2 linked regions of the Cricetulus griseus genome follow. The protein of the gene in region 2 interacts with the protein of the main gene of each other region in a biochemical or structural test. Links are inferred from orthologs where the notes say so. Each region holds a gene or a part of one and is shown on either strand. Other genes may lie near its edges. The genes, in order: Slamf1 and Sh2d1b.

Region 1 (3,816 bases), about 1.5 Mb from region 2:
TTTGAACAGAAAGCTCTTTGCTAAAGTCAGCTGCCGTTTAAACCTCCACATGCATATCTTTGCAGGCAGTAGAGGACGAGGCAGGGAAAGGAATAGCCATAAGATACAACTGTAAATACTGCAGAGATATGTCAAACTGTGCAGCTAAATGAGAAACTGAATAGGTGAAAATAAGGAAGAGAAGGAAGCCTGAGCCGAGGCATAGTCTGATATTCAGATTATCTGAAGAAAACAAAAGTTTCCCCCAAGGAAACTAAGAATGATAAAAAGAACAAAATAGCAAGTCAGGGAAGTGTAGTATCTCAGGGACCAAATGCAGAGTGTTTAAAGGAGGGATGATGAGCTACGTCTATCGGGTGTTCCTTGAGAAACACTCAAGATAATGATGGAGAATTAACTGACTTGGCTCTGTGTAACAGAGAGATATGGACAAGTGTGATGCAATGAGAATTTGGGGCAGAATACTTCTTTGGAATGGGCACAGGGGAAACTGGGTCAGGAAGTAAAAGCAGAAAACATAAACAGACATGCAAGAACCTTCCAGAAAGAAGATGAAAATGGCCAAGTGGCTGAGGACGGACCTGGGATCAGAGGAGAGATTTGTTTTGTTTTTTGTTTTTGCTTTGTTTTTAAGACAGGGGCAATTAAGTGTTTGTATGTATGGGCTGGTGAAAGAAATCCAGAAGACAATGAGAACACAGGGGATGGCTTAAAGAGGAAACCTGAAAGCCTGTGAGTGTTCCTTGAGGGGAGAGGCTAGCCTTGGGAGAGAGCACAGCCCATTCCTCCAGGTAGACAGATCGACTGGGATTTCCATAGATTGAATCTTACTTTTTTATTTCTTCTGTATTTTTTCAGTGAAACAAAAAGGGCAGTCACCCCCTGCAAGAGGAGGCAGAAAGGCGGCTTATGGGTTTGAGCCAAGAGGAGGTATTAAATAGTCAGCGCTAGAACCCCTTAGAGTGGTTTGAAAGGTTTTTGGGGTTTTGTGGGTTTTTTAACACCCTCCCCCCCACCTTGTTCTTGTTGGTTCAGCTTTTTTTTTGAAAAGGAAAATAAAATAATATCTTAACCTTACCATTATTAATTATCTTGGATATTTTTGAAGAACTGGGATTCCAGTTTGGACATGAAGGGCACCACCTCCCTAATTTCCACAGTCCTCCTACCCTTCTTTGCTTCCTGTCACCTGGCTTAGTGCTTTGGGAACTACGATGCCCTGGGCTCCTTTTTACTGTTATCCACTCTTTACCAAGCATGCTGAGTGTTGGCAAGAACCTTGGCAGAGAAATTATAGACTGAGACTCTAGTCCTGGCTCTGCCCCTTACTAACGTGACTTTAAGGAAGTCATTTACTTCTGCCTTCTGTTCAGCCTGAGTTGACAGAACCCTGGCGAAGTAATTGTAGGATTTCCATTGGATGCTTTGAAACACTGAAGTTATGCTTAGGATCCTGGTGGTAGTCCTTGTAGACTACAAGGTGGTAATTTGAGATTGTTCAAAAGAAGAGGTGAGCCTCAAGCCTGTCATTCTCTGTCTGTTCTCCAGTTCTTGCATCATAAGGAATTATCTTCCCTTTCTTCCCACAGGTAGAGGTGTGATGGACTGCTCGGTGATTATCCAGCCACTGGGAAGTGACACGTGGCTGTCCCTGACAAATCAGATAAATAAGAGTGCTAACAAAAGTGTTCGAATCCTTGTCACAATGGCAACGTCTCGAGGAAGCAAAACCAACAAGAAAATAGTGTCATTTGACCTCACTAAAGGGGGCTATCCTGATCACCTGGAGGACGGCTACCAGTTCCAACCAGAAAACCTGAGCCTGGGGATCCTGGCAAACAGGAGGGAGAATGAAGGATGGTACTTTGTGAGCTTGGAGGAGAATGTGTCCGTTCAGCAATTCTGCATGCAACTGAAACTTTATGGTAAAAATGGGAGTTTTCACACTTCTTTCACACAGGAGGCCTAGAAGACTTAGGCCTTTCTCAGAAGCAGAGTATCTGCAATTGGAAGCAACTCAAAAGATCTGGTCCAGAGAGTATTTAAGCTTAAGGGAAAAACTTTGACAGGCTGACATTAGTTGGTTAGTTATATTCCAAACTGCCCATCGGTGGAGGCTGAATTGATTCCTGCTTTGAAAGGAAGGAAGCCCACTGTGTGGGCCTGAAGGGCTGGCTTTCATCTCTAACGGGCTTAGTCTGCATATCAATTTTTTAATAAAAGCTTTTTGTTCCCTATCAAGCCCAAAAGTACGAAGTTTGAATCCAACTGAACAAGCCTATCCTCTCTGTCATTGCCAGGGTCCCCGACTCCAGGGGCAAGTAGTTTTGCACGTGCTTACCCACATTTGTGTAGGCTGTTTGCTGAAGCAGAGGTTCTGAGTAAAGAAAGCTGACATTCCACCCACAGGCAGCTCACCAAGCTCAGAGCCCTGGGGGAGGCTTCCACCTACATGGTGAAAGAAACACCTTTTTTTCCCCCTCATTTGAACCAGGATCTGGTTATGTAGTTGTTTAGTTGAGGGACTGTAGAACCTACATCTTCCTGACTCCAGTGCTCTCTGAGTCCCTCTAACCTCTGCTCCTGTCCTTGAAGACACCTTGCATTCCTATCTCCTAGGCCCAGAGCCTCATCTGCTTTCCAAGGCTTGCTGGCATCTCTGTGGGGCTTCCCTGATCTTTCAAAGGGATCTCTTACACCACCAAGGATGGGATGGGAAGTCCACAGCTAGCATTTCGTTGAAACATTCAGTTATCTAGGAGAGAAACAGAAACATCTTGACTCCCTCCTGCCCCAGTGTTTCCCTCCTGCAAATAGAGAATGCAGAATACCCATAGTTCTCTGCTGAGTGTGCATGGAGGCCACACAGCATGTGTAAGGCATGTCATATGATCTGTCCCTTTGTTCTTATAAGTTTTCTGACTTTGTCAAACCTTATATAATAAGTTGGGTACTTTGGGAGCTGTGTTCTCTGCAGCCATGACTTTCATTAGCGAGAGGGGGAAGGGGAGGGCTGATTTCAGAATCTGATGAAGGTACTTATTTCAGCCTGGCCACTTAGAAGCTGTATAATGTCAAACAAGACATGCCATTTCTCTGAGACTCAGTTTTCTCATCCACAAAATGGGAATAATTATTTTTAGTTATACCTATTGAGAGAATTAAAGAAGATGAATATGAAATGCCAGCAATGTGCTGGTCCTATAGTAGCTGTAATAAGCACAACCTCCCTTTTTACCTTGCCTATCTCATGGCTTTAGAACTGTATGGATTGATAGGGCCTGTGGCTGTGATTGAAAACCTACCACTGCCTTAGACCCACAAAGCCCTTGCTACACACACATACATACATACACACACCACACACACACATACCCCTATACCATACACACACCACATACACTCACATATACACACCATATACACAAACACACCACACAACACCTCACACACACCACATACACACATTGAATACACACACACACACACACACACACACACACACACACACACACACCACTTAGGCTCAATGAAATCCAACCACTAAAAACTCATGCTTTTAGCTCTAAGAGGCTGTACTTTAAGCCAATGAAAACCTGTCTTATTCATGATAGAATATGGCAGAACAATCTACATAGTGTACATCAGGAGATGCATACAGTACCCTAACAGTATTAGCAGAAAGGAACTAGAAACCAAATGCTTCTCTTTTCTATCTCAAGAGAGTCCTTGAATAACCAAGAGGGGTGAGGAATGATGTGAGTGACAGTTTTTCACAAGAGACAACTCACACTTAAGACTTTTCAGTGAGGGGAA
Region 2 (4,470 bases):
CTCTATAATCTGACTTAGGAGGCAGTTTCTAGTCAACTCTTGAGTGCACCCCAATTTTAAAAATCAAGCTTGCTTTAAATTTGGCTCCAATTGTGGTAGTGGTCTTATTCTCCACGTTGGGGTTAGCACTTTCTGCTTATCAGTTTGAAGTTCCAAATCCCAGCACTTGCTGCTCATCTCCTCAGTATGGCCCCAGTTCTGGTGAAGGCCCACTTGTCTGTATCACATAGCGGCAAATGACATCATCAGAGGGAGAGATCACGGGAAACCAGAACAGGGGTCAGGGGAAGGGCCAGTCTTATTTTTATAACTGCCCACTTAGGAAGAACTAACCCAGCGTCCCCCAAGATCCTTCCAAGGGCAATAGTTCCAATACCTATTGTCTCCCCTTGTTTCGTGTTTCGTGTCTTAACATCACTACATGGAGACCATGCCTCTGACATGTGGAACCACAGATGGACACACATAAGCAAACAAACAGAGGGGGAGAGGAAACTAGGAGAATGAGAAGGGGAGAAGATGAGGGATGCAGAGGACATGAGGGAGCAGAAAGGCGGAGTCAGGGGAAGAATAGATGATAACAAGAATGGAGATACCATCATAGAGGGAGACATTTTAGGTTTACAGAGAAATCAGGTGCTAGGGAAATGTCTGGAGATCTACTAGGATGACACCAGCTAACAATCTAAGCAACAGAGGAGAGGCTACCTTAAATGCTCTCCCCTGATAATGAGATTGATGGCTGACTTATATGCCACCTGATAGCCCTCATCCAGCAGCTGGTGGAAGTAGAAGCAGACACCCACAACTAATCACTGAATTGAACTGGAATGCAGATGCAGAGAAGGACGAGTGAAGAGCAAAGGGGTCCAGACCAGGCTGGTGAAACCCACAGAAACAGCTGACCTGAGCATCAGGGAACTCTTGCTCCCCAGACTGATAGCTGGGATACCAGCATGGGACTGAACTAGACCCCAGGAACATGCATTTCAGTGAGGAAAACTTGGAAATCTACAGGACCTCCTGTAGTAGTTGAGTACTTATCCCTAGCATAGGTGTGGACTTTAGGAGCCCATTCCACATAGAGGGATACTCCCTGAGCCAAGACACACGGGGGTGGGCCTAGGCCCTATCCCAAAGGATACAATAGACTCTGATGACCCCTATGGAACGCATCACCACCCAGGGGGAGCAGAAAGGATATGTGATAGGTAGGGTTTTAGTTGGGGGGAGGGGTAAGGAAGGACAGGAGGGAGAAGGGAACAATCCTGTTTCTAATTCAAATAAAAAAAAATCTGGGGGAGAAAAAACAAAAACAAACGAACAAACAAACAAACAAAAAACCCAAAAACCTGAGCATCACTTTCAGCTTAAGAAGCAAAGATGGACTTAATGCTATCTTTCTCACACCCATTTCTCCAGGCACCATTTAAGAAACAAAGGGCCTGTGTAACAATTAATAATGACAATCACTTTTGCCTTCTTAACTTTCTCCAAAGCTCTAAGAAGCACAAGATCTCTCCCCTTACAGTGACAACATTTCTTTGTTTGCCGGGACTTCAGTCAAGCTCCTAAACCTTCTAGGCCCACCTGTGCATTTCCTTACAAAATTCAGCTTTCTCATAGTCTCCTGCTCCGATACTATCTGAGCACCCTCAGTATCTCATCAGCATCTTCCATCTGCCACCAGCCCCCAGATGACATCTAAGCACAGTGGCCTTTACTCAGCTAAAATCCCGGGGTCCTTTTAGCTAGTGTTTCCTTCTCTCTGAAGTTTCCTCATAGTACTTTTTCTGTGTACTGCCCCCATCCTGCTCCTTGCTATGAATTCCTACTTGCTCACACTTGATTCAGAGTTAAGCCCACTGTCTGTCCCCAAACGAAGTCCCCACTACATCCATCACTACACCTGTCAAAAAGGCTTGCAATGAAGTCTTCCTCGATGTCTTCTGGAACAGGCATGAAAAAGGATTCAGTGTTTCTCTATTTCTTCATCTATAAAATGACAACAGCATCTACTTTCCTCAAAAGGCCTCCGAAAGGATAAAAAGAAACAAAGACATGCTGCTTGCAAAGTCTTTGACCAACCTGATGAGCCATGACATATTAGCACTTTAAATATTTCTCGTGAATGCAACCAAAGAGCCTTTCAGTCAGAAATATTATAAAGGGCCCCTAGCCTTCTCCACAGCAAATAAAGAGACATGGAGAGAAGATTGCATTCTTACAGTTCTTCCTTCTCCCCATCACTCTCTCATTTTCCATCCCCTCCATCCCCACTTGTGCTGTCTCGGGGTCTGCTCATGTGACAGCCACTAATGGGAGGGAAAGGCAGGCAGAAGAGCTGGGCAGACACATCCTTCTATCCTCTCCTGGCCCATGTCTGTCTCCTTAGCATTGCAAAGAAGAATGAGACACAGCTCCCTGAGAAGATGGCTGCCATTGGGGTTCAACTCATGAAGGCAAGGCTACTCACGAGACGCAGAGGCACAGGACTCCTGGCATAGACTCGCTGTCTCTTATCAGATAGTTGCCATCCACCCCTCCCTTGAGGAGCAGGGTTTCACATTCTTTCTTGGTCATCTGGCCATGGTAGTAAGGCAGATCCATGGAGAGCTAAGTTATGCTTTAACTGCCCTGGCCACCTGAGATCAGTTCCAGGCCAAGCCGTGGCTCTGGAGAGGGAAGTGGAGAGAGCAGAAGAAGGGAAGTGTCCCTTCTTCAAGTGTTGTCCAAACAAGATGAGATTGCTCTGTGGGTTCAGTCAGCTTTGCACAACTCAGGAAATGAGAAGGGAGGGGTGATGAAGTGACCAAGACTTTTCAGCCTAGGGGTGGGCGGCTCAAACATGACTCACAGAAGTCGGGGAGTGCCTTCCAGCTCAGCCAATGGTGTTTGCGGCTGCAGCAGCAACACTGCAGCCAAACTCCCTGGGTCCAGGTTATATACAGCCTGTCTCCCAGCGGTTTTCATCCCTTCTGGCTATCAGTGTGCTCTCTAAGGAACATAATACAGACCCCGCTCTACTGGATGCCCATAATCTTCTTGGGCTTTCTCTGTCTGTGTTCTGCGTTAATCGTCATCTGTTTAACGTAAGCTTCTCTAATGAAGGTTGATAAATGCGCTGATCTGTGGATACAATAAGTCATTCAGTGTTCGTTTAATACCATGTCCATTTCACAAAGTCTTAGTAGCAGGTTGTTCCCTAGGTACAAGGAACTCTCTAGCCACAGTTTTTATGATTGTTTGTTTGTTTGGTTGGTTGGTTGGGTTTTGGTGTTTTGTTTGTTTGTTTGTTTGGTTGGTTGGTTGGTTGGTTTTGGAGGATTTTTTGTTTGGTTGTTTGGTTTTGTTTTTTTTTTGAGGCTGGGTTTCTCTGTAGCTTTGGAGCCTGTCCTGGAACTCACTCTGTAGACCAGGCTGGCCTCAAACTCACAGAGATCTGCCTGCCTCTGCCTCCCAAGTGCTGGGATTAAAGGTGTGTGCCACCATTTAGAGACATAGCCATAGGTTCTTGACCTCAATAACAGCATTAAACACAAATTTCTGTTGGGGGCATCCATCAGAGAAGACTGCTTGGATACAGGTTTCAACCAATAGAAAGTCTTTATTAGCTGGCCAGTGGCTATACATGGTGTTCAGAATCCCAGTGTAGTCCTAGCCTTTCTTGGGGGTGTACTTTTAAGCACAAAACCACATCCTGGCTTAACACACCTCAGCAAGAAGAGTTAGTGGAAGCTAGGTGTCATGGCACACTCTATTAATCCCAGCACTCAGGAGGCAGGTGGATCTCCATGAGTTCAAGACCAACTGATCTACAAACTGAGTTCCAGGATAGCCAGAGCTGTTACATGAAGCAAGACTACAGAAACGAAAAAGCAAGCTTAGTACCTTAGAGACTTTCCAATATCTGTGGACTTCGATGGATTAGGTCATTTTGGGTACAGTGGTCCTCAACCTATGGATTGTAACCCCCATGGGGGTCGAATATTAGATATCCTGCATATTAGATATTTACATTATGATTCATAAAAGTAGCAAAATGACAGTTATGAAGTACCATCAAAATTATTTTATGGTTGTGGGTCACCACAGCGTGAGGAATATATTAAAGAATCACAGCATTAGGAAGGTTGAGAACCACTGTTCTATAACAGTGTCTATATGCTGAGTATTATGGCCTAAATGGTGCTTTCATCATGAGGTCAGTTGTGCTAAGGGCTGGTGGCCTACTAATGTCTGAGTAGTAACAGTGTCTATATGCTGAGTATTATGGCCTAAATGGTGCTTTCATCATGAGGTCAGTTGTGCTAAGGGCTGGTGGCCTACTAATGTCTGGGTGCGAGTTACAATTTCAATTAGTGGTGTGGACTTTAAATCCAATCAGAAATTGGGTTGGTTACTTCTATGACATTTGTGCTGCTGTTGCACCAGTGGGCGTATCTTGCCAGTTGGTCATTAATTTAGCTC

The links.
Region 1: the proteins of Sh2d1b (region 2) and Slamf1 interact in a test that uses a peptide from one of them, tested with the Homo sapiens proteins (2 studies listed by BioGRID). The link is inferred for Cricetulus griseus from reciprocal best matches to the Homo sapiens genes SH2D1B and SLAMF1.

The regions. Positions count from the first base shown.
Region 1 is NC_048598.1:21,037,927-21,041,742, reverse strand, and holds part of Slamf1 (signaling lymphocytic activation molecule), read left to right. Parts: intron 1-1,589; coding exon 1,590-1,925; intron 1,926-3,816.
Region 2 is NC_048598.1:22,566,762-22,571,231, forward strand, and holds the start of Sh2d1b (SH2 domain-containing protein 1B), read right to left. Parts: upstream 2,803-4,470; 5' UTR 2,611-2,802; coding exon 2,477-2,610; intron 1-2,476. UniProt on the Homo sapiens protein: Cytoplasmic adapter regulating receptors of the signaling lymphocytic activation molecule (SLAM) family such as CD84, SLAMF1, LY9 and CD244. In SLAM signaling seems to cooperate with SH2D1A/SAP.